7 linked regions of the Oryctolagus cuniculus genome follow. The protein of the gene in region 5 purifies or fractionates together with the protein of the main gene of each other region. This does not show direct contact. Links are inferred from orthologs where the notes say so. Each region holds a gene or a part of one and is shown on either strand. Other genes may lie near its edges.

The links.
Region 1: the proteins of ARMC8 (region 5) and RMND5B purify together in Homo sapiens (affinity purification with mass spectrometry; 4 studies listed by BioGRID and IntAct, with this or other methods). This does not show direct contact. The link is inferred for Oryctolagus cuniculus from reciprocal best matches to the Homo sapiens genes ARMC8 and RMND5B.
Region 2: the proteins of ARMC8 (region 5) and RANBP10 purify together in Homo sapiens (affinity purification with mass spectrometry; 5 studies listed by BioGRID and IntAct, with this or other methods). This does not show direct contact. The link is inferred for Oryctolagus cuniculus from reciprocal best matches to the Homo sapiens genes ARMC8 and RANBP10.
Region 3: the proteins of ARMC8 (region 5) and ZMYND19 purify together in Homo sapiens (affinity purification with mass spectrometry; 4 studies listed by BioGRID and IntAct, with this or other methods). This does not show direct contact. The link is inferred for Oryctolagus cuniculus from reciprocal best matches to the Homo sapiens genes ARMC8 and ZMYND19.
Region 4: the proteins of ARMC8 (region 5) and HTRA2 purify together in Homo sapiens (affinity purification with mass spectrometry; 5 studies listed by BioGRID and IntAct, with this or other methods). This does not show direct contact. The link is inferred for Oryctolagus cuniculus from reciprocal best matches to the Homo sapiens genes ARMC8 and HTRA2.
Region 6: the proteins of ARMC8 (region 5) and MKLN1 purify together in Homo sapiens (affinity purification with mass spectrometry; 4 studies listed by BioGRID and IntAct, with this or other methods). This does not show direct contact. The link is inferred for Oryctolagus cuniculus from reciprocal best matches to the Homo sapiens genes ARMC8 and MKLN1.
Region 7: the proteins of ARMC8 (region 5) and UBE2H purify together in Homo sapiens (affinity purification with mass spectrometry; 3 studies listed by BioGRID and IntAct, with this or other methods). This does not show direct contact. The link is inferred for Oryctolagus cuniculus from reciprocal best matches to the Homo sapiens genes ARMC8 and UBE2H.

What each region holds. Positions count from the first base shown.
Region 1 is NC_091437.1:63,737,203-63,741,324, reverse strand, and holds the start of RMND5B (E3 ubiquitin-protein transferase RMND5B), read right to left. Parts: upstream 2,801-4,122; 5' UTR 2,702-2,800; coding exon 2,350-2,701; intron 2,342-2,349; exon of another isoform or gene 2,082-2,341; intron 1,553-2,081; exon of another isoform or gene 1,449-1,552; intron 1-1,448. UniProt on the Homo sapiens protein: Core component of the CTLH E3 ubiquitin-protein ligase complex that selectively accepts ubiquitin from UBE2H and mediates ubiquitination and subsequent proteasomal degradation of the transcription factor HBP1.
Region 2 is NC_091449.1:51,057,176-51,061,352, forward strand, and holds the start of RANBP10 (ran-binding protein 10), read right to left. Parts: upstream 2,801-4,177; 5' UTR 2,545-2,800; coding exon 2,310-2,544; intron 1,617-2,309; coding exon 1,505-1,616; intron 1-1,504. Other genes in the region: TSNAXIP1 (translin-associated factor X-interacting protein 1), read left to right, coding at 3,162-3,208. UniProt on the Homo sapiens protein: May act as an adapter protein to couple membrane receptors to intracellular signaling pathways.
Region 3 is NC_091432.1:237,722,169-237,726,240, forward strand, and holds the start of ZMYND19 (zinc finger MYND domain-containing protein 19), read right to left. Parts: upstream 2,801-4,072; 5' UTR 2,583-2,800; coding exon 2,532-2,582; intron 2,205-2,531; exon of another isoform or gene 1,857-2,204; intron 1,431-1,856; coding exon 1,371-1,430; intron 475-1,370; coding exon 368-474; intron 1-367. UniProt on the Homo sapiens protein: May be involved as a regulatory molecule in GPR24/MCH-R1 signaling.
Region 4 is NC_091433.1:128,427,726-128,431,732, forward strand, and holds the start of HTRA2 (serine protease HTRA2, mitochondrial), read right to left. Parts: upstream 2,801-4,007; 5' UTR 2,692-2,800; coding exon 2,186-2,691; intron 2,066-2,185; coding exon 1,861-2,065; intron 1,762-1,860; coding exon 1,529-1,761; intron 1,385-1,528; coding exon 1,306-1,384; exon of another isoform or gene 1,274-1,305; intron 1,212-1,273; exon of another isoform or gene 1,090-1,211; coding exon 984-1,089; intron 847-983; coding exon 777-846; intron 102-776; coding exon 6-101; intron 1-5. Other genes in the region: lipid droplet-regulating VLDL assembly factor AUP1, read left to right, coding at 3,077-3,126, 3,207-3,344, 3,424-3,945.
Region 5 is NC_091435.1:143,486,184-143,489,683, forward strand, and holds part of ARMC8 (armadillo repeat-containing protein 8), read right to left. Parts: intron 3,208-3,500; coding exon 3,065-3,207; intron 2,963-3,064; coding exon 2,865-2,962; intron 1-2,864. UniProt on the Homo sapiens protein: Component of the CTLH E3 ubiquitin-protein ligase complex that selectively accepts ubiquitin from UBE2H and mediates ubiquitination and subsequent proteasomal degradation of the transcription factor HBP1.
Region 6 is NC_091434.1:167,346,877-167,350,863, forward strand, and holds the start of MKLN1 (muskelin), read left to right. Parts: upstream 1-1,187; 5' UTR 1,188-1,246; coding exon 1,247-1,344; intron 1,345-3,987. UniProt on the Homo sapiens protein: Component of the CTLH E3 ubiquitin-protein ligase complex that selectively accepts ubiquitin from UBE2H and mediates ubiquitination and subsequent proteasomal degradation of the transcription factor HBP1.
Region 7 is NC_091434.1:166,117,153-166,121,324, reverse strand, and holds the start of UBE2H (ubiquitin-conjugating enzyme E2 H), read left to right. Parts: upstream 1-1,372; 5' UTR 1,373-1,810; coding exon 1,811-1,863; intron 1,864-4,172. UniProt on the Homo sapiens protein: Accepts ubiquitin from the E1 complex and catalyzes its covalent attachment to other proteins. E2 ubiquitin conjugating enzyme that transfers ubiquitin to MAEA, a core component of the CTLH E3 ubiquitin-protein ligase complex.

The sequences.
Region 1 (4,122 bases), on a different chromosome or scaffold from region 5:
TACCAAAATGTGTGAATGTTCAAGTCCCTTATATAAAATGGTGTAGCACTGCATTTAACCCACACACATCCTCCCTTACATTTTAAGTCAACTCCTATGTATCTATTTGATAGGCTTGGAGCAGTTACCGTCTGCTGCTAAGGTTTTCACTACAGATGCACGAAAAAGGTGTCTTTGCACTTTGTCTGACTGTGGCAGCCAAGACTGAAGAGAGGCAGATGGGGTAGGAGAGGTGAATCATCTCTAGATCACTTACAATTTCAAATACAATGCAAACGCTATGTCAATAGCTGTTATATTATATTGTTTAGGGAATGACTTTTTAAAATCTATACATGCCCAATACAGACATTTTTCCTCAAATATCTCTGACCCACAGTTGGTTGAATCCATGGATGTAGAACCCCAGGATATAGAAGCCTGCCTATAGCCCAGACACAGCAGAGTACTTTCTTATGGTGGGGAGGGAAGGGAGAAGTGGGAATAATAAAGGAATATGTAATTAAATATAAAAGAGAAAAGGCCCTGCATGGACCAATTAAATGATTAAGAACTAATTATGATTAATGTAATTAAAATTTTAAGATAAATGAGCTGGGCAAACAACTACCTGAGGGGGGCGGCATTGTGGTTAAGCTGCTGTCTGCAACACCAACATCCCACATGGGCACTGGTTCGAGTCCCAGCTGCGGAACTTCCAATCCAACTCCCTGCTATGGTGTCTGGGAAGGCAGCAGAAGATGGCCCAAGTGCTCAGGCCCCTGCCACCCATGTGGGAGACCCAGATAGAGTTCTGGGCTCCTGGCTTCAAGCTGGACCTAGCCTCAGCCATTGCAGCCATTTGGGGAGTGAACTCGTGGATGGAAAATCTCTCTCTCTCCCTCTTTTGAATACATAAATCTTTAAAAAGAAAAAAAAACTGCTTGTGGGTTTTCCAGAGCCCAGGTTAACTCAGTGTGTCCAGAGCGAGCCGCTCTGCCCGTCACAGTCGGCCATCTTCACCAGGCACAAGGATGAGGAACTGTGTGCTTGTCTTTGACAACCTTCGTGATAAAGGTAAGTGCTGGCGATTGTCATTTCATGTCCATTCACCCTAAGTCTTTCTCCCCAAGGCCTTACACATATAGAGATCACCCAACAGGACGACTGCTCCAAAACACACACCAGATCTTGTCACCCCTTGGCTCAACAGTGCCATGGTTTCAGATAAGTCCTTTGCAAATACCCATGCACTTCCTTTGCGCGTGTGCCTATTTCTAGAGTGCCTTCTGCACTTCTTCACATGGAGAACTTAAGCAGGAGTTTAATCACCAGTTTTTCATGAAGTCAATGAAATCTGTGTCTCCTGTTTTTGCTTCATAAACGTATCCCGGGAGCCCATGTACTGACTGTCCCCATGCTGGTCTCTGCTGTCGGACTATGAGCTACCCAAGGGCTGGAGTCCCTACCTTTGGCGCCTAAACCAGGGCTGGTCCACGGTACTCAGAACGCGTTTGCTAATTAAATGGCACAGGACTTCCCAACCTTTGGCTTAGAGGGCCTGCGCTCACATCTGTGGAAGGTGAGCAGAGACAGGACTGAAATAAAATTCCCACCAAGGCACGTATGGGGGGACCCCGCACCCACACTTCAGCAGCCTGAACAAGGAGGGTTCCTGGAATGGGGAAGAGAATCTGTGAATCCCGAGGGAACTGATTCTGGCAATTTCGTAGCCCCCACCTCTAACCCCTCCCGGCCCGACATATGGTTCTCACTAAAACCAAGACTGGCTCCCGCTCAGCCTGCAACACACTCCCTCTTCGGTCCCAGCTCTGCTCGACCAGTCTCTGCCGCTGACCCCTGCTCCAGTCACCCGATCCCTATCCCACGGCCCCGTGCTTTCCTTCATTGCACACCCCCCTTCGACGATGCACATTTTTATTTTATCCTTAACCAAAACCGGAAGGAAGGAAGGAAGGAAGGAAGGAAGAGGCCACCGGGTCCCCCGGACAGTAGCCTCGCCGGGATTTCACCTGCATTAACCAACGAACTCATCCTTCCAGAGACCCTGCTCACGAGCCCGGCCGGGCCCCGGCCCGCACCTGGTTACCTGCCACCCAGCCGGGTCGCACGAGGCAGGGACGCCCGAGTCCGCGGCCCGGGGCCGGTCTGCGGGACTCCCGCTCCCCGTCCGGGCCGACGACTGCTAAGAGGACAAACCCAACGGCAGACTGGGGCGGGGGCTTCCGGAGGCTGAGCCTGGGCCAGGCAGCCAACCGAGCTACCGCGCGCCGCGGCCCTCCGCACCGCCGGCCGGCGAGCCCCGCCCTCAGGCCGCAACGCCTGGCCCAGAGGCCCGCCCGCGCTCACCTCCGCCTACGGCCCCGGCTTCCGGCGCCGCCGTCTTCGGAACCGGAAGTGGCGGCGGTGGCCGGGCGGCCCCGGGCGCTCCCACTCGCGGATACGCAGAGGGGTGGCCGTCCCGCAAACCGCCCCCCCCGCGCACCAGCAGTGAGGTCGCCCACAGGAGCTGGGGGACCGCGGTCAGGCGCTCGCACCCAGCCCTTCGCGGCCCAGCCCTTCGCGGCCCAGCGTAGGACAGAGCCATTCGCTGGCCGGCCGGGGGCCCGGCAGAGGCGCGGGGACTCGCCCTGCCTGGTGCCCCGCACGGAAGACCCCAGCTCCTGTGCCTCCTCCGCTCGCTGCGAACAGTGCTGTGCATCCTAGAGGCCCACCGGTTAGTCTGTGCCCTTGGGAAATGTCATGGAAGACAGAAGCCCTGGAGTCCGGCTGTGGTGTAGCGGGTTAAACATCCTCCCCATCCCCCCAACGCCGCGTCCCATATGGGCGCGGGTTCGAGTCCCGGCTGCTGCACTTCCGACCCAGCTCCTTGCTAATGGCCTGGGAAAGCGGTGGAAGATGGCCCAAGTCCTTGGGCTCCTACCCTCAAGAGACCTGGAAGAAGCTCCTGGCTCCTGGCTTCGGCCTGGCCTGGTCCTGGCCTTTGCGGCGTGACCTAGCAGATGGAAGATCTCTCTGTCTCTCTGTAACTCTGCCTTTCAGATAAATAAATACATAAATTTTTAGGGGGAGAAAAAAGCAAAGTCCTTTTTTGGTGCCCCAGCCTTGCGGATCCCCTCAACCTGAACTTAATCTGCAGAATCAGATTCCGCGGCTGCCCTGGGTGGGAACACACCAGCCCCCGGGGAAGGAAGGCTGACAGAGGAGGGGGGAACCGAACCCAGGCCTGGGCCTAGTCTAAGCTCCACCCAGGCCCGTTGGCTCTGCGCGCACCCCCCCCACCCCGCCCTCGAGGAGCCGGACTCTCCCGACTTCCGGCTGCCTTTTTAGGCCAGCCTCATTCCAGGTTCGCCTCCCCTTGCACAATCTCATTTTCTTCGCACTTGCACAAGCCACCTTTGTTTTCTGTACAGCATTTGATATGATCTCGTGTGTTTATTTGTTGTTCCTGACTTCTGGCGCTTAGCCCTGCCTCCACCACTTTTGGGGGCCGGGGAGGATGGCTTCCCCCACACCAAGTGCTTGGGGCAGAGTGGATGCTCCACGGGGAGACGCGGAGGTCGTAGGTTATACAGAGGAAACCTTAGGCTGTATTGCAGGGAAGGTGCGCGCGCCGCGAGCCTGGGTGGTCCTGTCCCACGCGGAAGCGCGAGGGCGGAGAGGAGTGAGCCTGGCCCGGGGCTAAGGGGCCCCGGAGCCCTGCCCAGCTGGACAGGACCGCACAGGCTTTCACGCACGCCCCGGGCGCCCCCACTTCCGCTCCAGGCCTGGCTGCTTGGAGAACTTTGCCAGTGCTGCTCACGAGACGTTCCCAGCGTGTGGCAGTCCTGTGGTTTTTGTTGGGATGGGGTCGGTTCTTGGAGCTGTTGTTCACGAAAATCAGTGTCTGTTGAAAAAAAATTTTTTTTGCCAGTTTCCTAGTTTGATTTTAAAAATTTCACTCAGTAAATAATGTCTATATTTTATTTTGGAGGAGGTGGGTACTTCTGTGTGGTTATCCCAGCACCTCCTGTTGAACAATCCTTCCTTACCCTCTCCTTTGAAGTCCTTTGAAGCCCTTTATCTTTTTTTTTTAAGATTTAAAAAATTTATTTTAAAGAGTTACAGAGAGGGGAGGCAGAG
Region 2 (4,177 bases), on a different chromosome or scaffold from region 5:
TGGGGGAATGAACTAGTTGAGAGGAGAGCTCTCTTTGTCTGCCTCTTAAATAAAATGAAAATATATAAACAGTTTTAAAAAGCCTTCAGGGATGGGCGTTGTGATACGGCAGGTTGAGCCACATTCCATACAGTGCTGGTTTGAGTCCTGGCTGACTATTCTGTGTTTCCTATCCAGCTTCCTGCTAAAGCGCCTGGGAAGCAATGGGTGAGGGCCCAAGTACTTGGGTTCCTGCCGCCCAAGTGGTGAGGGCCCAAGTACTTGGGTTCCTGCCGCCCAAGTGGGGGACCCAGATGGAGTTCCTGGCTCCTGGCTTCAGCCTGGTCTAACCTTGGCTGTTGTGGGTATTTGGGGAGTGAACACTCTTACTCACTCTCTGTCACTCTGCCTTCCAAATAAATGGGTAAATCTTAAAAAATAAAAAATCCCTCCAATAAGTATAAATTTCCTATGTGTAAATGCAATAGATGGGGATAAAAGTGAAGGATGCAATAACTTCCCATGATAGGAATTTCAGAATCACAGAACTTTCAGTTTAAGGCAGCTTACACGCTAGCCGAGCGCCCCACAACACAGACAAGGAGACAGAAGTGTCAGGCTCTGCCTAAGACAGAGAAGAGCACCACAGCGTCGCTGAGGAAGCAGGACAGGCTGAGTCCACGGAGGGACAGTCCCCAGGAAAGAAGAATCATTCCAAATGCTCAGAAATCCGCTCAGGGCAGGGGCAAAGGTCACTGGCCGGGTGGGGCTGGTCACTGGTAAGGAAAGTGTTTTCCACAGTAGCTGCAATCATGTTATTTCATAACTTAAACACCTGCTTTGTCACAATCACTGGAAAAAGGGGAAACGGGGAGAAAAAGGAGAATGAGAAAGAAAAATGAAGACTCTCCCCTCTGATTTCCTAGGTCTGCCTAAAAGAGGGTGTCTCCCTGATGCTGACCTTAATGAGGACCTTCTTAAAGCTGGTCCAACTGGTGTGCAAGTTCCTGGACTGAAAAACAAGTTTATGGGCAGCGCGGTCACCTGATTCTGACCATGTGTGTGCTGTTTACCCTGAGATGACAGGCTGGTGGCCACCACCACTCTGATGGAAGCTGGAAAGACTCTCCTACTCCTCTGAAGCCTACCAGGGCCTCTACATGACTCAATGCCATAAAAAGGAGTGTGAACGGAGGGAAGTCACACACTACACACCAGTGGGAAAACCCCACTGCGGGTGCTGAACCGTACTTGTTACTTGTTTTTCTGATCTGTGAGGCATGTAATGACATCATCACTAAAAAAAAAAAAAAAAAAAAAAAAAAAAGCCCCTTGCTTTACCATTAACACCCCTACTTGCTCTCAGGGCCTAATGCTCAGACCAGCCATGGTCAAGGAACACAGAAAGCCCAGACCCATGGGCTCAGCAGCTCGCAGGGTCACGGTGTCAGCCAGGAAACTTCGAACTCTGACCACCTGGAACAGTTTCAGTGTTGGGGAAAGAGGGTGCTACCGAGGGGCTTACCCATCTCTTCCTTTGCTGACAATCTTCACCTCAAAGTAATAAATGCCACAGGCTGCAGGGATGGGGTGCGTGGCGCGCACCGAGGCTGCGTCTTTGTGATTTTTGCCATGACCTATAGGAGAGGGCAAGGAAGAAATTTCAGGAGAAGGAAATGCAGATGGGAAGCCAGAGGACACTCTTACAGTCTCCAAGGAATACCTAGACAACTGAGTCAACACACACACCTCCTCCTGAGCCGCTGTCCTCCCCCCCAACAAGGGTAGACGCAATACGGGTGCACGTGAGGGACAGCCAAGTGCTACCAGCAGTCTCTAGAATGCAGGCAGCCCACCGGAGAGACCAGGGGAAGAAGAGGGCAGACCTGGAAAACACCTCCTCCACTTTAGCAGAGAACCCCTGGCCTAGTCCTGGATGACTGGCAGGCAGGCAAGCCCATGGGGCTCCGGCTAATGGTGGAGATGTGACCAGCACACTCCAGAAACTAAGCATTGATAAAGGACCGAGCTGGCGCTGCGGGAGGCAGCCCAAGACAAGCAAGGAGGCCCTGAAGTGGAAGGTCCAGGCCAGCACTGGGTTTGGACACCTGTTGCAGTTCTCTTGACGCTGGGGGTCTCGGGCAGAGCAGAGCCGGCAGTCAACCCTCGGCCTGGTCAGCCCCAGCACACTGGACATTCCACAGGGGCTAAGGCCTAACCCAGAGCACCCACGCAGGGAAAAGGCCGTGATGGGGCAGGTGTAGGCAGCACAGCCACAGCCGTACCGCAGATGCTCTGGCCTGGTCCCCCCGTGGTCACACGGACGATACCTTTGTAGTGGACGCGGAGGTTGCCTTGGGAGAGGCCGATGTAGTTGTACTTGTCCTTGGGGCTCCAGGAGCGCGGCAGCGGCGTCTCGTGCTGGTTGACCGCGGGGTACAGACGCTGCAAGCGTCGGCTCAGCTCCTGCTCCCCCGGGGACGGAAGCCCGCCCCCAGCGCCCCCACCGGAGGAGTCTCCAGGCTGCGGGTTCCCAGCTCCCGGGTCTGCCGTCGCCGCCGCCATCTTGGAGGGAGCTGCTATTGTGTCACTGGGGGCGGGGAGGAGCAGGACTAGATCCGCCCCGCTCAGCCAATGGCCCGCCAGCCTGCCGGGGCCGCAGGGAAACCGAGTCCGAGTCCGGCACCTCTCTTTGGACACTGCCCCTCCTTGCCACACTTTGGACTTCAAATCCCACAATGCACAGCTCTCCGGAGGCGGGCCGGTAGAGAACTATGGGAGTTGTGGTACAAACCATCTCAGCCATGAGCCTGCCCTACTGAGATGCTGGGGCATCAAAAACTACAGTTCCCGCCAGCAAATCGGAACCGGGTCTCTCAGCGCCCCTCCTTCCCCCGAGGCCTCGGTTCATGCCCCTGATTCAGTTCTGGTAGTTGGGGTCCAACGCACTGCAGGGACCGGCTCTCGGGGCACCCGGCTCCCCAGTCCGAGTCCATCTTTGCCACCTGGCCTTCTCCCAGCGGGCGGGCGCAGGGTCTAGAGGCGTGGCACAATCTTGGCCCCGCCCCCGCCGCGGGGCCGCTGGGGCCTGGTCGTCATGACAACGGGCTGTACACTACCACAGCTAACCAGGCGGCGGGTGCTGGCTGCCCGCTCGCCTGCCTGCCTGCCCGAGTCGGGTAATGGACTCCTCACAGTCGCGGTGCTGCAGCTTCTCGTCTGTGTCGAGGTAGGCGCCGGGCGGGCTGAGGACAGAGAGGAGGGTTTGAGTACCTCCAGAGAAGGAAATGGCATCTGGAACAGACCTCTGAACCTCCTGCTGGCCTGTGTCCTTCTGTGTGAGGCTCTGGCCCGGACACAGCGGTGCAGAAAGCCCGGCTGACTTAGCCCACTGAGGACGTTACCTGCTGGCAAAAGGGCGGACGCATTTCGCCAGTAGTAGTAACTGCCAGCTTGCACTGAGCGTGTTATATATGCCGAGTGCGTTGTATACCACATTTAACCCTCACAACGACTCAATGAAGAAGTAGTATCACCACTTTACAAATGAAAAAGTAGCAGTGTGGAGAGATGATGTCTTTTACCTACATGTGCGGATAAGTAGTGGAGTTAAGATGTGAACCCAGCTACGTCAGACTTCTGAACTGGAACCCTTAGCTACAGGGACAAACTATCTCTTCACCCATGAGTTAGTTGGATTTATGACAAAGATATTTGTTGAATTTAGGCTGACTCTAAGCAGCCTAGGCATATCTCACAGCCTCTTCAAGTAGCTCCAGATTCAGGGGTGCCGCCTCCAGGCACTGTAAAATATGACACAAGTCCCATTGATCAGGAAAGCCGCCTATATGGATTCACACAAAAATTTCACCTAAATACCTTCCTAGCTTCTGAACCTGATAGAAGGCCCTTAAAGTTACAGGCACTGGTTTCTGTATCTCAAACAGGAGGATGATACATTGTTGGGAACATTTAGCAAGAATATGGGAAGCTGTCACCACTGCTCTTGCACATAGTAGGCATTCAGGAAATTTTAAATAATATAGTTTGCCTCTTCTAATTATGGCCAATGCAAAAAATCCTGACCTCACCTGAATTCTCATCCTTCAGGGTCTGCTCCCATGAAAAGCCCACAAGAGTCCCCTAAAACAGGAAATGCCAATTTACCTGTTTTATCCAGAGGAAAATCAGTCTGCAA
Region 3 (4,072 bases), on a different chromosome or scaffold from region 5:
CGATACCCCGAACCAGACCCAGACAGCCTACAAACAGTTCCTCAGCGAGAGGTCCCAGACACCAGCATCCCATCATGCACACCGAGGCGGCAGTTAACTTCCCCAGTGAGCTGCCCCTTCACACCCCGCCGAGGCGCCCCAGGAGAGCCGGGGCAGAGCGCAGGACCCCCCCCCCCCCCCCCCGCAGAGCCTGTCCTGGGGCGTGAGGCGCTTTGTCTGTGGACGGAGTGCTGGGCAAAGCGGAAGGCAGTCGTCCACATTCCTGTACCACAGGAGGCACCAGGCACAGACAACGGGCCACTGACTCGGGGAAGGTGAGGGTCACACAGGGCCGAGGGGGAGACCAGCACAGCGCGAGAACACCCACCACAGCAGCTCGTGAAGGAGCCTGCCCGATCCCCTGCCTCGGTTCTTGTCAAAGGCGTATGCGAATATCTTAGCACCATTTCCGTCTGCATCTACTTCCATGCGGGCCTGAAAAGAACAAGGAAAGGATTGGTAAAATCCTCCAATTTCCAGATCCCTCTTAGAATAATCGAATGAAACAAAAAAGCCGGAAGACAGGGCCCAGCCCGTTTCTGGGACCTGGGTGTCTGTGGATGCAGAGGCCAGCTATGCCCCCTCAACCACTCCACCTTTCACTCACACAAGAAACGCTCACACTAGCGGCCGGCACTGTGCGTGGCAAGTTCAACCACCACCTGTGGGGCCAGTATCCCATAGAAGCGCAGATTCTAGTCCTGGCTGGTCTACTTCTGATCCAGCTCCCTGCTAATGGCCTGGGGAAGTAGCAGAAGATGGCCCAAGTGCTTGGGTCCCTGCACCCACGTGGGAGACCCACAAGAAGCTCCTGGCTTCAGCCTGGCCCAGAGGATGGAGGATCTGTCTCTGTCTCTCCCTTTCTAATGCTGCCTTTCAAATAAATTTTAAATAACCTTAAAAAAAACCCTCACTCATAAGCAATTATTTGTGAAGTTCTATGGGCGCAGAGACAATTTCCCACCAATAAAAACCCCCCACGATCCCGTGAGAAAGGGACACCCTGGAGAAGGAGCTCCTGCAGAACTGTGGGGCCCTGTGGCCAGAGCACCAGGGACCACTCGCAGAGGTCGGAGGCAAGTTCCTTACAGAGCACCTGGGACCGTGGAGAGGACTGGGTAAGCTGCACTAGGGACACCTGTCAGCAACAGGACAAAAGTTGATTTAACAGCAGCCAGCGACCAGGGAGGGTGCAGGTCGGCCAAGGCCAGCGTCAGAAAGGCCACGGAGACTCCACCGGCTGGCACCAGACATCCACGTGCCGGGCCTCTTGGACCCAAGCACCTGCACTCCGCTCGGCCCTCCCGGGAACACCCCATCTGCGCCCTTACCTCGAAGGAGTAGCTCTCCACCAGTGGGATGTCTTGCTCATCTATCAGCGTGTACTTGGTCTGCAAATCAACCACATTACAGAGCGTTACACTTGGGGTCTGCGCCTCATTACAGCCAGGGGGCCTGGCTCTGCAGCACTGCGTGTGCGGCAGACACAGCAAAGCCACAGGAGGAGGCACCTGGCTTCAAAGGCCTCCCACACAAGACCGCCCCCGATAAAGCTGGCCAGACCTAGTGGGCTGCCCTGGAGCAGGGGCAGAGTACACACCAGGTTTCAATTTGTCTGTTAAGCTGGGCAAGGGGTGCACAGGTGCTCGCCCAATCACCCTTTTCCAGTTCAGTCTGCCTGGAATGTTCCGGATGAAAGATTTGGGGACGTTAATGCAGCCTGGAGAGGGCCAGAGCTCCAGGGGAGAGCCCGGGACACCCCCAACAACACCAGCCTCACTCCTGCGAGATCTCTCCTAGGATCGGAGCTGTTTTACCTTCACTTGAATGCAGACTGCCTCTCAGTCCCTGGATATAGGGACCAGGCTTCCATCAGGGTAAGGCCCAGGCTGCTGCAAGGCGGAAACAGCCAAGCCTCCAGGCCCACTGGTGCCAGAGGCCTCGCCTGCAGCCTGTGGAGGGCGGAGGCCGGGCTAGGGGAGAGAAGTCGAGGGAGCCCTCGAGTTCACCAACACCGGGGTTCCGGCTTCCTTGTCCTGCGCTGGGGAAGCCCACGCTCAGTGCAAGCTCAGAGGCCCCCATCAGACCCCCTAGCAAGAAGGACTGAGGTGGCGCTGCCCTGGAAGGGGCGCCGTGTTCAAACCGCGCGGCCGCAGGTGCAGCCCTGGCGCCGGGCTGGGCCCAGTTCGGAAGCCCCACATGGGAGAGCGCCAGACGAACGCGGCCCGGGCACGGGCGCGCATCTCCGGCCCTGGTCCTAGACCGGGCCCCGGCGAAGGCGGCAAGGGGCGCGCCCCACCGACTTCAAGAGGCGGCCTGCACCGGAGCGAGGCCCCGCAGCCGGGCCCGCGCAGCGCCCCCGCCCCGCCGGCGCCCCTCCGGGGCCGGCGCCCCCGCCCTGGCCGCAGCCCGCACAACCGCCCCCGCCCCGGGCCCCGCGCAGAGGCCAGGGCGGGCGGGCCGGGCCCAGCCGCGGGCTCCGCGCCGCTCACCTTCCCGGCCACCCGGCCGAGCCGCACGATGCCCAATTTGAAGTCGGTCATGGCCGGGCCTGCGCTCTCGGCCGGCAGCGCCGCTCCCTCGGGAGACACCGGGCCGAGGCGAGGCCACGGCGCGCCCGGGCGGGCCGGGGTCGGGGCCGGGGCCGGGCGGGCTCCGGGCGGGACGAGGCTGGGCCGGGCTCGGGCCGCCGCCGCCGTCGCCGCCACCTCGCGCCCGCCGGACCTGCCACGCGCCGCCGCCGCCGCCGTCGCCGCCGCGCGCACCACCGCGAGCCGAGCCGAGGGGCGGGGCGCGGCGCGGGACACACCCCCCGGCCCGCCGCTGCCCAGCCAATCGCGAGGCGCGCCGTGCGCCGGCTGGCGCGCGCCGCCGCGCAGCGACCAATGGGGGAGAGGAGAGTGCGCCGGCGCGCTGGGGAGCGGGGCGAGCGCGGGGGAGGGGTGCGGCCGGGGGCGGCGCCTGCGCGGCGGGCCCGGCTCCGACGTCAGTTTCGCGGGAAGCTTTGTGCGGGCAGCTACGCCTCGCCCGGGCGGTCCCCGCTGTGTGGCGTCCACGTGGGTCCGCTTCGCCGTCGTCTCCCCCGGCCGGGCGACCTGCTGCGAGCCTCTGAGGAACCAGCCTGAGGAGGCCTCCGCGCCCAGCCCCCCGGAGCCCGAAGGTGCCGGCCACCCGGGCCTGGACCGCCCCGCGGCCCCGCGGGGAGGCCCGGGTCGCGGCTCCCGGACTCAGATGGGGCGCGGCCCCAGTGGTGAGGGGCGGCTGGAACGGCGCGGCCGGGGCCGCCCGCGGCGTGTCCTCCGGAAAGCCTCGGCCTCTCGGGGCGGGGTCGAGCTGGGCGGCCACGGCGGCGCGTGTCCGGCTGAGGAGCCGGCGGGGACCCCGGGCATTGAGGGGTCTGCAGAGGCCACCCCGCGGAGCCCCCTTTCCCGTGTGCCGGGCTCTGCTTTGCAGGCTGTTTTCTCAGAAAACCTCGTGACATCTGGGTCCCTGTGCCTCAACCTGCCAGGGGCGAGAGGCTGGGAGGCAGGGCCACCAGTCCAGCCTTGCAGGGGGGCAATGTGGGGATCTCTGCCCGCATCGTCTATGTGTGGCTCTGCCGGACCAGGCGCTGCAGGCGGCCCGGTGGCGCGGGGTGTGCGTGGGTCGCCCGTCCTTTCCGCCCAGGTGCGCAGTCAGCATCCAGGGAGGGCGAAGGGTCGTTCCTCCGCCCCAGCCCGGCAGCGGCCCCGGGGAGGGTCTCCCTGTGTGCCAAGCCGCCGCCTCTGCATGGCCTGGGGAGTTACCTGCGAGAGTGAGCCTTCCTAGGAAGCCGCCACAGATACAGTGGCATGAGACAGTGCAGCTCTTGGTGAGGTGTGGTGAACTTGGGTGGTTTCTTTTCTCCAAGTCTCAAGAGCAGTCGAGGATGGGGGGGAGTCATCACGGTGCTGGCAAAACTCAGTCCCACGTGGTTGTGTGAGGGCCCGTTGCCAGCCACCAGCAGGGGCCATTCTCGGCTTCTGCAGGGCGTCCTCGTCGGCCGGGCCCCCAC
Region 4 (4,007 bases), on a different chromosome or scaffold from region 5:
CTTACCGGTGTGCAGGGGAGCCCAGGATGACTTTATGGATGAGCACGCCATGCTGCACGTCAGGAAAGCTTGGCTCTCGCAGCTGTAGCTCAGCAAGGATGCTGCAAGGACACGGATCACCCTGGTAGCCACACTGCCGCACCCGCCCTCTCCTAAGTTCATCTCAAGCCTCCCATCACGCTGACACGTGTATGGACAGGACATGTACCGGTCAGTACAAAGGCGACTGATCACTTTCTGCCTCCTTGTGTTTCACAAGTGGGACATGTCCATGAAAGATAACTAATTCCAAATGACACCAGTGTTAAATCAATAGCACTAATGTCACTCTAGAATCCTGGGAAGCTTTAAGGAGCGAGTACAACTTAAGCTGAGCCTAGAAAGATGGGTCTATTAACTATGTAAAACAAGATCAGCATAAATAAAAACACGAAGCAGGAAACCAGGTTGGCTGGAACTGAGTATTCACATAGGAAGTAATGGGACCCAGGTCTGAAAGGATGATTTAGAGACACGGAAAACAGGCCAGGCTAACTGACAGCTTTAAATGAACACAGGAACAGGATGAAATCAATCTTATGACAGGTGTACAAAATGGAGTGAGGTGAGAAGGTCAAGATGATGAGAGGGGCCAGCTCTTGGGAGAGCCCCGAATGTGAGACAGCTCATCTTAGATAAAGTCAGGAAAGAAAGCAAACCAAGCTCAACGGAAGTGCCAGTTGCTCACCACTGATTCTACTGGTGGTCCCACATGTCATGACCCCAAATGCTCATACCTCGGAGTCAGAGTCAGCATCATCACTCCAATGTAGCGGCGCTGGGACCCACTGATTCCAAACCAGGAATCTGTGATACAGGGATGAATGAGCCCCATCCAGCTACATCCTTCCTTCCCCCTCACAACAGACTCCCCCTCCAGCAAGTCCCAAAGAATGTCCCACCCAGCTCTTAAAGGGAACCCCCACCCCTTGAGCCAGCCTCACTTTTCTTTTCTCCTCGATGCAAAAACTCCCGAAGGCGATCAGAAGGGATGGCAAAGGAGATTCCAGCTGTGACCTTCATGGTGTTCACTCCAATCACTTCCCCATCCTGCAGGGACACAGCCCCCTGTTCCCTAGCCCAAACAGATAGTAGGGGATGGGGGCCCCCGGAACACGAGTAGAAGCATGGAGTGTTGGGGGAATCTGTATTGGGAGACAGGCAACAAGAGCCTGCTCAGAAACATAAGCAAACATCCTAGAATTACTGAAGCCCCTCCCCTCCTCACACTGACCTGGGGCCTTGGAAGAAGAATGTCCCACTCACCAGGTTAACCAGGGGACCTCCAGAGTTTCCAAACTGCAGCACAAGGAGAAAACATGGGAAAGGTCTGGGAATTCTAAGTCTGGGGACACACACAGGAGGTAGGCACTCTCTCCAAACTTCTCTGCTTCCCCAACCCATACATGAGTGTGGCCACATTTCTGCAGCCCAACCTCTACCACCCCTCAGTTGGCACCTGTACCACCCAGCTCACCCTTGCCCGGACCTAGTCTGCCAATGCAATGCCCTTGCATCAGGACGCACATCAATAGCTGCATCAGTCTGAATGTATTCCACATTGGTTTGGGGGAGTCCCAGGTCTCTGGCTGGGCGCTGAGCAGAGCTGACAATGCCAGATGTGATCGTGTTCTGCAGCGCAAAGGGACTTCCCATGGCAACAACAAACTCCCCTTGCCGCACATCAGCCGAGCGTCCCAGAGGCAGTGTGGGGAGAGGCTCCTAAGGGAGAACGGGTACAGGAGACCTGTCATCTGGTGACGGGAGCTACAAGACAACTCCACACAAACCTGGCCTGCCCGCCCCCCCCCCGACCCCCACCTTGGTCTGTATCCTCAGCGTGGCGATGTCTGCCACGGGATCCACAGCGGTGACCATGGCCTCATATGTGTCGCCGCTAGGCAGCCTCACGCGGACTCGGCGCCGATCAGCCACCACATGGGCATTGGTAACGATGAGCCCGTCGGCCGCCACCACGAATCCTGAGCCGTTTGAGATAGGAACTTCGCGGCCCGAGAAAGGGTGCCTGGGATTGCCGCAGGGGTAAGGGGGCCTGGGTATAAGGAGGCTCTGACCACCCCACCACCACCGCTTGCCCGCCTCTAGGCCTGTGGCTTCAGTGCCTTCCAGTCAACCCTGTCTTTACCGGTCCAGGATCTCGATATAGACCACAGCAGGTGCCGTCTTCTCAACCACGTCTGCGATGAAGTTGTACTGGCTCCGCGGAGAGGTTGGCGGCGGAGCAGGGACTGAGGCGAGGACAGCCGGGGGACCCCGACCCCCGCCCCACAACAACAACAGCACCGCCCCCCCAGCGCCCAGCGCCACCGCCAGCCACACGCGTGGACGGGTTCCAGGGGTCCCCGAGGCCTCCCGCGGCCTGGAATCTGGGGCCCCTGCAGTCAGTCGTGGCCGGGGATCCGGGGACCCAGACGTCAGAAACGCCCGGGGTTCAGGGACCCCCACAGCCAACCGGGCCCGGAGACTGGGGGTCCCATAGGTCATCCGGGCCCGGAGGTCAGGAGTTCCTGACGTCAGCAGAGCCCGCAGGTCAGAGGTCAACAGGGGTCCCTTCCCCCATCGAATGCCCCCCAAAGCCCGCAATCCCCAGAGGCTCCAGCCTGCACCCCGCCCCGCCCTCAGCGCAGCCATCTGCTCCGCCTCGGCTGCCTCCTCGCCCGCCCTTCTCAGAGGCGGTGCCCAGGACGTAAGCGGGCGGACAGCAAGACGCGGCGCACGCCGGTATCTGAAGTCCTCCAGAAGTGCACGCCGGGACGCAGGATCCCGGAAAGTCGACGCCGCCCCGCCCCGCCCCGCCCCGCGAATGCCGGGAATTGTGGTTCCCGAGGGACGCGAGTTCCAAGGCGGCCCAAGGGGCCGCGGGGCATGCCGGGACCGCTAGCCCTTCCGGGGCGCCTCCGGACTTCGGGTTCCAGCACCCTGGGCGGATGCCCAAAGACTCCGCCTTCCCAGGAGCCCCTGCGGCCGGGCGCGAAGATGGCGGCGGCGACGGCCGGACACCCCTAAAGCAGCTGCTATGGAGCCTCCCCCGGCACCGGGGCCGGAGCGGCTCTTTGATTCGCACCGGTAAGAGCTTTCGCGGGAAGAAGCCAGCTCCCGGGCCGTCTCGACCTTCGGCACCCGATCACGTCGCCTTTCTCCCGCAGGCTCCCAGGTGACGGCTTCCTGCTCCTCGCGCTGCTGCTTTACGCGCCCGTCGGGTTCTGCCTCCTCGTCCTGCGCCTCTTTCTCGGGATCCACGTCTTCCTGGTCAGCTGCGCGCTGCCAGACAGCGTCCTTCGCAGGTTCCAATTCGGGGGCTCGGAGAGTGTCAGGAGTGGGCCCGGCCCGAGGCCGCACCGTCACTACCGCCTGTGTCCCCAGGTTCGTGGTGCGGACCATGTGTGCGGTTCTGGGACTCGTGGCCCGCCAGGAGGACTCTGGACTCCGGGATCACCGCGTCAGGGTCCTCATTTCCAATCACGTGACACCTTTCGACCACAACATCGTCAACCTGCTCACCACCTGTAGCACCGTGAGTGGGGGCCAAAGCCCCGCAGGGCAGTTCCTGGGGACCCAGCTCAAGGCTCGCCTATCCCCGTCGGGTTTCCCTTGGGCGATACAGAACCTTTCCCCTAATCCCGCTCCTTTACCCTCACATCAGTTTCCCTCATTTCCCTCCATGGGTTTCTTCTTGCTTTGTCTCCTCCGCGGTCCCCAGCCTCTACTCAACAGTCCCCCCAGCTTTGTGTGCTGGTCTCGGGGCTTCATGGAGATGGACGGGCAGGGGGAGCTGGTGGAGTCCCTCAAGAGATTCTGTGCTTCCACGAGGCTTCCTCCCACCCCTCTGCTGCTGTTCCCCGAGGAAGAGGCCACCAATGGCCGGGAGGGGCTTCTGCGCTTCAGGTAGGTGAGCACAGATATCGGGCTCAGTTGGGTAGGTGGGTTTCCACAGCCTTGTTTGGTTT
Region 5 (3,500 bases):
GGCTTCGGATGGGTCCAGCTCCGGCCATTGTGGCCACTTGGGGAGTAAACCAGCAGATGCAAGATCTCTCTTGTCTCTCTCTGCCTCTGCCTCTCTGTAACTCTACCTTTCAAATAAAAAATAAATTTTTACAACAAACAAACAAAAAACAGCTGTCTAGGGTCAATTTCCCCCCTATTACCATCCTGGGTTTGGGGAGAAACTTTCAGGGTAAAGACAGAGGATTGGTTTAATCTGTTAACGCAACAATATGACCTACAGAAAACCAAACTGCTCTTTCCTAAAAAAGCCCTCGACAGAATGCTTTGGACCAAACAGTTCCCAAAGAGTGATCCTTTAACCAGAACTACCTGAGTTATCTGCAAACTTGTTAGAAATGCAAATTCTCAGGTCCCTCCCCAGACTCACTGAATCAGAAACTCTGGAGGGTCCAAGTAATTCTGGTGCTTACTCAGTTTTGTGAACCAGTGCAGTATCCAATCTGTGGATTCATGATTCATGGATCCCTGAATGTCTCATAAAACTCTGAGGTAAAAATCTGTGCTTTTGGCCGGTGCCACAGCTCACTAGGCTAATCCTCCGTCTGCGGCGCTGGTACCTTGGGTTCTAGTCCCGGCTGGGGCGCCGGTTCTGTCCCGGTTGCTCCTCTTCCAGTCCAGCTCTCTGCTGTGGCCCGGGAAGGCAGTGGAGGATGGCCCAAGTGCTTGGGCCCTACACCCGCATGGAAGACCAGGAGGAAGCACCTGACTCCTGGCTTCGGATTGGCGCAGAGCACTGGCCATAGCAGCCATTTGTGGGGGTGAACCAACGGAAGGAAGACTTTTCTCTCTGTCTCTCTCAAATAATAATAATAATAAAAAAATCTATGTGCTTTAAATGTGGATATTACTTACAGTGTGTGGTGATCCACAAACTTCACTTAGAGACCTTATGTATCTTTAATGGTCAGAGGATATGCATCTGATGTAGGAAAGGTGGACAACAGAGCTACAGGACAGGCCCCTCTCCATGCTTGCTTTGCCTATGCCTCTCAACTGCTTAACTCTTGAAATATTTATACAGCTTGATTCTGGATAAGATCTCTGATTCATGTGTATCCAATCTGACAGTCTGGGTCTTTGTGTAACCACAGAGAAGTACAACTAGCATGAGAGAGAGAGGGACAGACAGACACCAGGACAGAAACCAGAAGGTATCACGTTTGTGCAATTGTGTGTGGGCCTTTCTCAAAAATCACAAACATACATCTTCTACATATAGATATTGAGACAATGAGTATGTCTTACAGTAGACTATAGATAAGAGCATTTCAAAAACCTTAGCATAGTTTTTAATAAAGAAATTTATTTAAAGATTTATTCATTTTATTTGAATGGCAGAGTTAGAGAGAAAGAGTGAGAGAATCTCCCATCTGCTGGTTCATTCCCCAAATGGCTACAACGGCCAGGGCTGGGCCAGATGGAAGCAGGATCCAGAAGCTTTTTTCAGGTTTCCCATGTGGGTGCAGGGCCCCTAAGACTTGGGCCATCTTCCACTGCTTTCCCAGGTGCATTAGCAGAGAGCTAGACTGGAAGTGAAACAGCCTGGACTCAAACTGACACCCATATGGGATGCTGGTATTAGAAGTGGCAGTTTAACCTGCTATGTGGCCATGCTGGCCCTTACATAATTTCCATTAAGAAAATTCTATGTAATCAACAGATTAAAAGACTCCTTCATAATCCCTGAAGTCTAAAAGAAATTTTTTAAAAATCTGAGACAGAGAAAAGAGGAGAGATAGAGGAAGACAGAGCCCCCAACTGCTAGATTACTCCCCAAGTGCCTGCAATGAATGGGGACTGGGCTAGGGCAAAGCTGGGAGCCAGGAACTAATCCAGGAATTCCAAATGGGAGGTAGGAACTTAATTACTTGAGCCTTCACTGCTGCTTCCCAGGGTCTGCACTGCTGGGAGGCTGGAATCACAAGCTGAAGCTGTGAATTGAACATAGGCATTCCTCTGCAGGCAATCTAACTGCTAGGCTAAAAGGGTTCACTCCCCTGAGGCTTTCGGGGGGGGGGGGGGGAGACACTGGCTGAGGCAGGTGTTTGGTATAGCAATTAAGTCATCACTTGGGGGACCTGCATCCTGTATTAGCATGCTTGGTTTGAGTCCTGGCTCCTCTGCTTCCAATTCCAACTTTCGGCTAATGCTCAATCTGGAAGGAAGCAGATACATGACAAACTGGTGCCCATATGGGATGCCAGCACTGCAGGTGGCAGCTTTACCCACTACACCACAGTGCCGGCCCCATGCTTTATTCATTTCTACTTCTCAAAATCTTATCCATTATTCAAGGCCCAAATGAAATTCTCGCTTCTCTACAAACCCTACTCTGCTGAACTTTAACCTAAAGTGAGCACAAACCTCCCTATCACTTACTTATTCAAAGATATACTTCCCTGATTTGTACATATAAAGAAATAAGCAGTTCATAAATTCCTCAAGATCTGAGACCTTCACTTCTTTACAAAGCTTAGAAGATTTGATATTTGCAAATAAGCAAGAAAAAAATGAGAGTACTTTAAAAAGTTAATGGAAAATGGAATTTTAAAATGAATTTGGTTTGAAGCAAAAAATTTTTTGGAATTCACTCAGTTTTTTAAGATAAGTTTTCCAAGATCTTTTTGAAACCTCCTCCGTGCATAGATTTCAAACATTTGTGTACCAAGGTAAACTTATCTTTCAATACATTTTCCATGAACTTTTTGAAATTTATATTTCTTGAGACTTTTCTCTAAAATAGTTACAATGAATTTGAAGATGTGAGGCAAATCAGGAGGAGGCTGTTAGTGCAGTGTATGATGATTCAAACATAAAACTCACAGTATACAGTAGCTCCTCTGGAGTGACAGGACTGGTGAAGATGGTCCGCAGACATCGGAGGCAAGCTTCAATGAACTTCAGGTCAGGGGACAGTAGTCCTATCGATGAAACTAGATTTAAGACTCATCTTCCTTTTCAACCAGTATTCAAACACTACAAACTTTTCTACTCTTTACTTGAGCAATGGTTTCCTGACATACCTTGCAGTAAGGCAGGGATAATATGGCAGTCCAGTAGAGACTTGACATTGTTTTCAGTACCCATAGCAAGGCTTCCTAATACCACTGCACACTCAGTTTTCAGCTCTGTGCTTGAGGTTTCTTGCTGAAGCAAGTACAACAATCTAAAAAGAAGGAACTTGATAAACAAAGAGACTAAAATATAGGAGTAAACTCGTGTGACAAAGCTATCAGGTTAATGAAGGCTATCCACGCATTCCACATACTAAAAAATAGCTTGCATGTGAACCCCTCTGGGAAATGGTTGTTTATGTCATCAGCTAATTCAAAAAAGAAACAAGGTGGGGGGTATCTAGGAAAGGCTTTCTTCATTTTGAGCAGAAGGACTACCACGGATTCTGAGTTCATCATAACTCTAAATCTCAAGGTTGTCCACATGCAGACTCTGGAGAAACAG
Region 6 (3,987 bases), on a different chromosome or scaffold from region 5:
CGAACCTGCCCCCCAAGGAAGGCATCCCAGGAGAGACCTCTCTGCCTACTGCCAAGTGGGCCCCCAGTCCGCTAACACTGGGTACTAAAAGCTTGGGAGGAACTCCAAACACCCCACACCCAGGAAACCCTTGGTCCGGGAGAAGGCGGTGGAGGGTGGGGGGAGGAGAAAGGCGGGAGGCGAAGTCTGAATGCAGCCGGTGCGCTCAGCTCTTGCCTGAGCCGCCCGCAGGGTGTAGCAGGTGTATTTCAGCTCTTTACGGTCAAGCCCACTGGACCTGTCCGGTGTATTCTCTCGGTGAACTGATGTAAGCTTGCTGAGCCCAGGCTGAAAGACGGGTGCTCTCCCTGATCTGTCTGGAGAGGCGCCCATCCGTCCTGGCCCCCGGGGAACATTCTACCCCCCTCTCTCGCCGGAACCCGCTCCCGCGCCAACAACCTCCCTTAGGCTCACCTCCCGCCCGGCAACCGCGGCAGCTAAGCCCAGACATCAACTCGCAGAGCCCGGACGCGCAGGTGCAGCGCCGGCGCCTCTGCTGCAGCTGCCAGACCCCGGGAGAGCCCGCGACCCCGCGTCCGTTTCGTGAGAAGCCGCTGCGGGGAGTGGCGGGGGTGGGGTGGGGGCGCCCCGAAAGCTTTCCCACGCCGTCTAGGAAGGGCTGGCCTGGGCCTCCCACGCTTCTCCACTGTGTGGGGCTCTATTTCGGTGGGCTGGACACCCAGCGCTCACCAGCTCCGCCGGGGGCCGAGGCCAGCCTGGAGCCAGCGGTGCCCCGAGATCCGTGGGAGGCCCCCGAAATGCTGCCGGCGACGGGGCAGGCGCCGGGCTGGTCTCCCTGCGACTCACCTGGCAGCCCCCGCAGGACAGGACTCGGGCCGTCACCCTCTAGCTCCTTTCAGCGCTGTTTCCTTAAGGGATTTACGACTTGGCCGGAGCGGCCCTTTTCCTCGTGCGTCTTCCACAACTGTAATTGGCCTCCTTTCCTGAGAAGTCTTGGCTTTTTTCCTCACCTCCGCTCCTAAAAGACGTCTTCTGCGCCCCATCCCTGGCAAGGCACCCCCTAGCCCCTCCAACCTCCCGCCAGAAGAGCCCCGCAAGCGCTCACAGCCCAGACGCGGCCACCAAGCCGCGGGCGGCGGGGGACGCCCGAGGACACGACGGCGCGGGCCTCGGCCCCTTTAAGAGCAGGCCACGCCCCCTCCCGGCGCGGCGGGCGGTCGGTGGCGGCCGCTCGGGTGCTGACAAGATGGCGGCCGGCGGGGCTGTAGCTGCGGCGCCCGAGTGCCGGCTTCTGCCCTACGCGTTGCACAAGTGGAGCTCCTTCTCCTCCACCTACCTCCCCGAGTAAGTGCCCGGCCGGGCTCGAGCTGGCCTGCGCTTTGGCGTCGGCACGGGCGGGCCGGCAGTGCCTGGAGGGCCGCTGAGCCGAGAGGCCCAGTTGGGGCCTGGTGGGGGGACGCGCGGCCTCGGGAGGCCCAGGGCAGCGGGGCCCGGAGCCCTGCACGGCCCGGCTTGGGAAGGGCGAGGCTGCCGCGAGCGAGCCCCGGGAGCAGCCCGGCGCGCGCAGGAGCACCGGAGCCGGTGCGGCGGCGCCGGGCGCCCGGGCCGGGGAGTCGCGGTTCGGGGGGCCGGCGGGGCGCGGCGGGGCGCGGCGGGGCCCAGGGCTTTGGGGCCGGCGCCGGGGGCGGCCCCGTCTCGCTGAGACGGGAGAGGAGGGCCTGGAGAGAGCTCGGCTCCGCCGGGGGCCGAGAAGTCGGCGAGTCGCGTCCGCGGGAGGAACCCTGGGCCGGGCCGGGGCATCTCTGCTGGCCGAAGTTCTCCGGGAATGGGGAGGAGGCAGGAGGGACGGCGCCCAAGAATTCCCTTGCATCCCGGCTCCTGAGAGGGCGGGCTTGTGGAGCACAGACCCGGACCCCATCCCAGAAACTCAGCTAGAACGGAAACGCTGCCTTGATCAACTTCAGCGGCAACTTGGTTCGCATCCCGGTCAGGTGTTGTCAAAAACCTTGCCTTGCCTTGCTACCGCCGGTTTCTTTGTAGCGAGTTCCTTCTGAGACGCCGACAGCACTTCCTTAGGTGTTTCTGAGCTCTCTCTCTCTCTCTCTCTCTCTCTCTCACTCCTGGGTTGCGTGCTGTAGGAGAAACAAAGGTACTGGTTGTTCCCAGGGTCCCTCATCTCAGGCTCAAAAAACCCTGGAGTGAGATATTTTTTTCTCGTCCCAAGCAAAGTGACTAGATCTGCAAAGCATACTCAGATACGTTTCGCACTGGAATTTTGAAACTAACTTCTGCAATTTCCCCAGTTTGATTGCTCTGGTTGCTTGAGTCAAGAATCCCCAGGTGGAGCTGTAACTAGAAGACTCTTAGCTCTTGATTGCCGGAGTGTGGTCCTGTTGACGTCAGGCCGGCAGTGGGACCACCTGAAGGGTGCCAAGTGACCTGGGGTCTCTCCTAGTGCCTTCTGGATGGCTGCTGCAGGGTCATGTCTCTGGTGGATGCTGGCACCCACCTGGAATCTGAGAGTGAGCCAGGTGGACATTCTTCTCACCTTAGGCCTTAGGCACGTGCCCTCGGATTTTCTGGGCCGACTTAGTCTTGGATCTGCAGATACTCAGCGTATTTCTATACGAAGACAGCTGGGACTTGGGGGTGGTATCGCTTCCTTTAGTAACCGCAGAGACATTTTTCTGATCTTCAGTTAGGCAGCTCCCAGGATGTCACTCCATCATCTCCTGGTGTAGGTGTGAGATGTGGGTATCACAGATCCCACCTGCGTTATTTGTTGTGTGGTGTGCATTCTAAGAACGGGTACATTTTAAGCAGGGTGTGGTTTGGTGGGATGGGGACTTCAATGTGACTGCCTTGTTATCTTGGCCGCTGATTAGAAAATGGGTAGAACACCCGTCATGGAGTTAGAAGGGAATTGTTTGACATTGGAGAAACCTATTGTTATAATTTCAACAAGTACTTTTGTAAAATAATGTTTTAAAACGTACAAGGGCACTTAAAGTTCATGGAAAACAATTTAAAACATTTATTTTGGTGCAGAAAATCTCAATTCATGATAAGAGGAATCTTCAAAAATTTAATAAAAAAAACCTGTTATGAGAAAACTGTTCAACTTTTTTTGTACCAAAAATAAACTTCTATACATTAAGAGTTTTATGAGAGAGAGGGATGAAAGAAGGGAGATAGATATCCTTGGATCTGCTGCTCTACCCCTCAAGTGCCCTGGATTGCCTGGTGGGTCTGGCCAAACCCAGGAGCCAGGAACTCAGTCCAGATCTCCCGTGTGGTGGCAGAGGCACAACTCCTGAGCTGTCACCTGCTGCTTCCCAGGATCCTCAGTCGCAGGAAGCGGGAATCTGGAGCAGAGAGCAGACTCAAGCCCAGGTCCACTGATGCAGGACATGCACAGCCTAACGGGCTTCTTAGCCACAAGGCCAAATGCCCACCCTGTATCTTTTAATTCCATTTGCCATGCAAATTTGACTTTGATTTACTGTATTTTACTTAATCCTTTGGCATTCCATTCATAGATGCAGTGTGCTGTTGGTTTCAAAGCGCTGAACTTGTACGATAAGGACAATCATTTTTTTCCTTTGAAGAGCTGTGTAGTTTTAGTTGAGAATTTGGTGTCTCCTAGGTTGGTATGTGCCATACCCCATCTATGAATGGTATGCTGCAGGATTAAGTAAAATACAGTAAGTGGAAGTCAGAGTTACATGGAAAATTTTTGGTTCTGAACTTCCATTAGCAAGTTACAGATTTGTGTCAGAGGAAGTGTTGGAAAGGGATTGACTATCCTTCACTTTGCCCTAAAATCTGCTCCCAGAGAATTGCTTTATCTTTACTAGCCAAGGAAGTCATGATAAGGTACTTCCTAAATAAGTTTCATTTTAGGTAAAGCCATTTGCCTACAAAGTAGCAAGTATTTATTGACATAGGTGGCAATAATGAAACAATAACCAAAATTGTAAACACTTA
Region 7 (4,172 bases), on a different chromosome or scaffold from region 5:
CCGTTGGAAGCAGTTAAAATAGCCCATGGTTCTCAGAACACAGAAGAGAGGTCACCCCCTGCAGAGCCGAGGGAATGGAGACTTATTATTTAATGGGTACACAGTTTCTGTTGGGGGTGATGAAAAAGTCCTGGAACTGGAGAGTAGCGATGGCTTCGAGCACGGTGAATCTATTTAATGCTTCCGAGTTACATACTGCAATGCTAAATTTTACGTTATATACATTTAGCAGTGAAAAAAAAAAATAGCCAGGCCTTTTGAGGGATGGGACTGTAGGAGCAGACAATATTCAACTTCACCGATGGCTGCTGGCCCAGGTGCACGCGTTGTGTGTAGGCAGTTACGTAAGCGGACACAGCCCCCAGCACAGGGGCTGACAAAGTACAAGTGGATTCACAGGAGCAAGGGGACAGCTGGAAACTTCAGGAAAGCTGACATGGATATGGGCGATGCCTGGAACCCTGTCTCCTGCCCTCTTTGTCTCTCCAGCTTCACTGTGCACAGGGATCACCTGGGGAGCTTGTTAAGCTGCACCTCCTAATTTCATAGGTTTGAGGGGAAGCTCACGTCTGCATTTCTAACAAGTTCCCAGGTGACGTTCATGCCGTAGCTCACACAGACTGGGAGGGCTGTGCGCGTTTAGCCTTGTTTAGTTCCTCACGATAGCCTCGTGTCCCCCAAAGTGAGAGCCCCCAGGAGGGGCTTAATTATTATTATTTATTGATACCGAGGCAGTGTAAGAGGTGCGTGCAGGCGTTTGGAGGATGGGAGAATCTTTGCCGTGAACTCTAGCATATTCGAGCCGTCCCAGCTTCTAGGGGTCGCTCACCTTGTGATCTCAAATTCTGAATAAGGGTGTTAGTTCTAAGTTGTTTCTGGCCTTACCACCTTGCTGCCTCCACTCTGATCCTTGAAATCGTGGCCTTGAACACGTGAAAGGTAATGGCCCTGATTTGCAAACTGCGGGGAAGCCTTGCTCTCCTCTGCAATCCTGCAAATTCTCTTCACCTGAGGAGGGCAGGGGCTTTCCAGATCTGGGCGTCTGTCTGAATAATTGCCACTTTGGCCTCCCCCAAATCAAATAAACAGCCTTTAAAGCCGACTGTGTGCGAAGGCGGTTCATTCCCTAAAACACACGCGGGTGTCATAACGTTGCCATTATTTACTATGAACGTCTAGGACGACGGTAACACATTGGCGGTTGAGCGACAAAGTGTGTGGGGAAGGTTGGGGGGAGGGGACAGAGGACGGAGAGGGCAGGAGAAAGAGGAACTACATATCCCATAAGTCCCCGGGAAAGCCCACGGCGCGGCGGCGCCCCACCCCTCTCGCCGTCCGGGCCCGCCCCTCGGATGACGTCACAGAGGTGACGTCACGGCGTCCAGAGCGAGGCTGGGGTAGAGAGGCCGACCGAGCAGGAGTCGTCCGCCTGTCGTGCAGGCTGCCAGGAGTCGGCGAGGGGTGCGCGGGCGAGTGGCGATCGGGCGAGCGAGCTAGAGCGGGCCGGAGGGAGCGTGGCGCGGCGGGGCGCCGGGGCGGCCCCACAGCCGGAGAGAGCGGCGGAGCCGGGCGCCGCGGGGTCCCCACCCCCACTCGGCCGAACCGGGCCGGTGTTCCCCCGTGCGGGGGGCGGCGGCGGCGGCTGACGGGACCCGACGGGACCCGACGGGATCGGGGGTGTTGCCACCTCCGCCGAGGAGCCGGCGCGGCCGCGGGCTCCTCAGAGCCGGGGCCGGGCCCTTGACAGACGGGGCCGAGGACCGGAGAGAGGCAGCGGCGGCGCAGGCGACGGGGAGGCGGCGGCGACACCATGTCATCCCCCAGTCCCGGCAAGAGGCGGATGGACACGGACGTGGTCAAGCTGTATCCTTCGAGGCGGGGGATCGTGGCTGTGGTGGGGGGGCCGGCGTGGGGACCCCTGAGGCTCGGCCGAGGGCCCCGGGGCACCCCAGGCCACTGCCCCCTCCTCCCGCGGCGCCCACGGCGGCTCCCGGCGCCTCCCAGGAAGCGAGGGCCTGTTCAGCTCCCCTTTATCTGCAGCACCCCACAATATGCGTAGCTCCTGCTCTTCCTGCAACCCCCCCCCCCGCCCCTCCAGCGCCCGTGACTTTTCTTTGGGGCTCCCAATACGGCCTCTTTTTTTTTTTTTTTTTTTCTTCCCCCAGGACCAGCCGCCTCACTCTGTCTACCGCTGGGCCCACCGTCAGGGTCTCTCTTTTCTGTTTGTTCGCTCTGTATTTCGGGACTCCAGGCAGACATTTCCCGAGAGGGAGGCCTTTCTCCCTGTAGATGCCCCCATTCCCTGCTCTCACAATGCCTCTTGAACTGGGGTAACTCCAGCGACCTTCTTTATCCCTAATTCCTTTCTATATTAGGAAGAGAGTAGTCGGCGCAGGGCCCCCTTTGCTAATAAAGAGCTCGGTGTGTTTTTTAAATGAGGGACTCCTGGTGCGGTGGCTGGTCCTGGCAGGACCCTCCTGACAAAGCCTATCCCACCCGTGCTCGCGTGCGGTGAGGACCCCCGGGCCCTGCGGCCAGCCTCCCTCCATGTTGTGGCTGTGACAGCTGGGGGCAGGGAGAGCAGGCCTCCCTAGGAGACAGCCCCCCGAGAACCACCCACCCAAGCAGAACTCCCCGCGTGAGGCTAAGGTTCCTGGGGAGTACTCGCCCTGCCCCCGCCCCAACTTTATTCTCCCTGGAGGTTGCAGTGGGGGGGAGCCCCCCACCCCCCCCAGCAGGCAAGGGTTCTGGTTGGAGTCCAGGCTGATTATTTCATGACCAGCTAGAGAAATTCGCGAAAGTTCCTGTGACAAATCAAGGAATCTGGCTTTGGAGGGGATAAGTTAGAGATTGAGGGGGGCCCTCATGTGGGGAACAACTAAGCCCTGGGGAGGGGGGGGTTAGGGGGTAGGGTGTGAAAGGCTGTTTAAGAAAAAAAAGTGTCTCCTGTTTGTCTTTGGCCCTCACCCCATCCCCCCCATTGCCCCCTGTTGCAGGGTTTTGTTTATATAACTCAGGTTGCCGGGCCAGATTCTTCAGGTGAATTCTTCCTGGCTTTTATTTGTTGCCATTTCCGATCGACTGTTTTACTTCTTTGTAGGGATAGATGATGGTCAAACACTCAGTGATGGGATCTGCAGAAGTTTTTAAAAGTAGTTTTTGCATATGGTTTGGAGGTGGGGGATGGGAGGGAAGTTGCCTGGGCAAGAGATTATTACTGTTTTTTTTTTTTTTTTTAATAATCTTTTTGTTAAGATGTTTTTCTCCTCACCCAGGGAAGACTTGGCTAGGAATTAGGAACAGTAGGTGAACTTCTGAGTTTAGGGTTTGGAGTTTTAAGATTTTGGGGGGTGGGCATAGGGATTAGACACAAGCAAGTGATAGAGTATAATGTGCAAATAACACATGGCTAGGCACAAGTGAAATCAACTGTGAGGTGTTTATGGCTGGGATTGTTTTGTCAATATGTGAATGATACCAGTAATATTGGAGTTTTATAAGGTTGTAACTATGACTGTGGGTGTATTTTAGACAAAGCAGTTTTGGGTTTTATTTTTGTTTAGAAACTAGGAAATGACATGGTGGTAGAAATGAGTTATTTTTACCTTGAATTGAGAGTTACTGTCACACCTAATGCAAATTTCTACTTAATGTGTGATTGGGATGGGGGGCAGAGAATTCCAGCTGTTTGTGATCGATGTCAGATTATGTACGTACATAAATTTTTAACAGATTGAGGAAAAGAGTGAGGCCTAACTTGACCTGATGCCTTTTCCATACGGTGCCTTTTGTTCATTGAGTAGTTGTGGCATCTAGAATGATTACGGCATTTAGGAGTGGGGCGGGGAGGGGGGACAGAGGGAGAAGAAAACAGACAAAGAACAGCAGGGTGTCTTTTTTTTTCTTTTCCCCTAAGTGGCTTATTTCATAGCTTATTTTTAGTAGAAGATGAAGAAAGGCAAAGATGCTCTGGCCTTCTGTTCTTTCCCCACCTTCCTCCTTTCTGACAAAAGAAAGCAGGGGCGGCTTTAAAATCGCGGGTCTCGTAGATGGCAGTAGATGGCAGATAGCGGGGAGGCCGGAGGTCAGCTTTGTGTGTGTGATTTTCTGATCTCGCATAGTTTGGAAGTTAAAATTTTCGAGTGTGTGTGTGTGTGTGTGGTAGGGGTGAG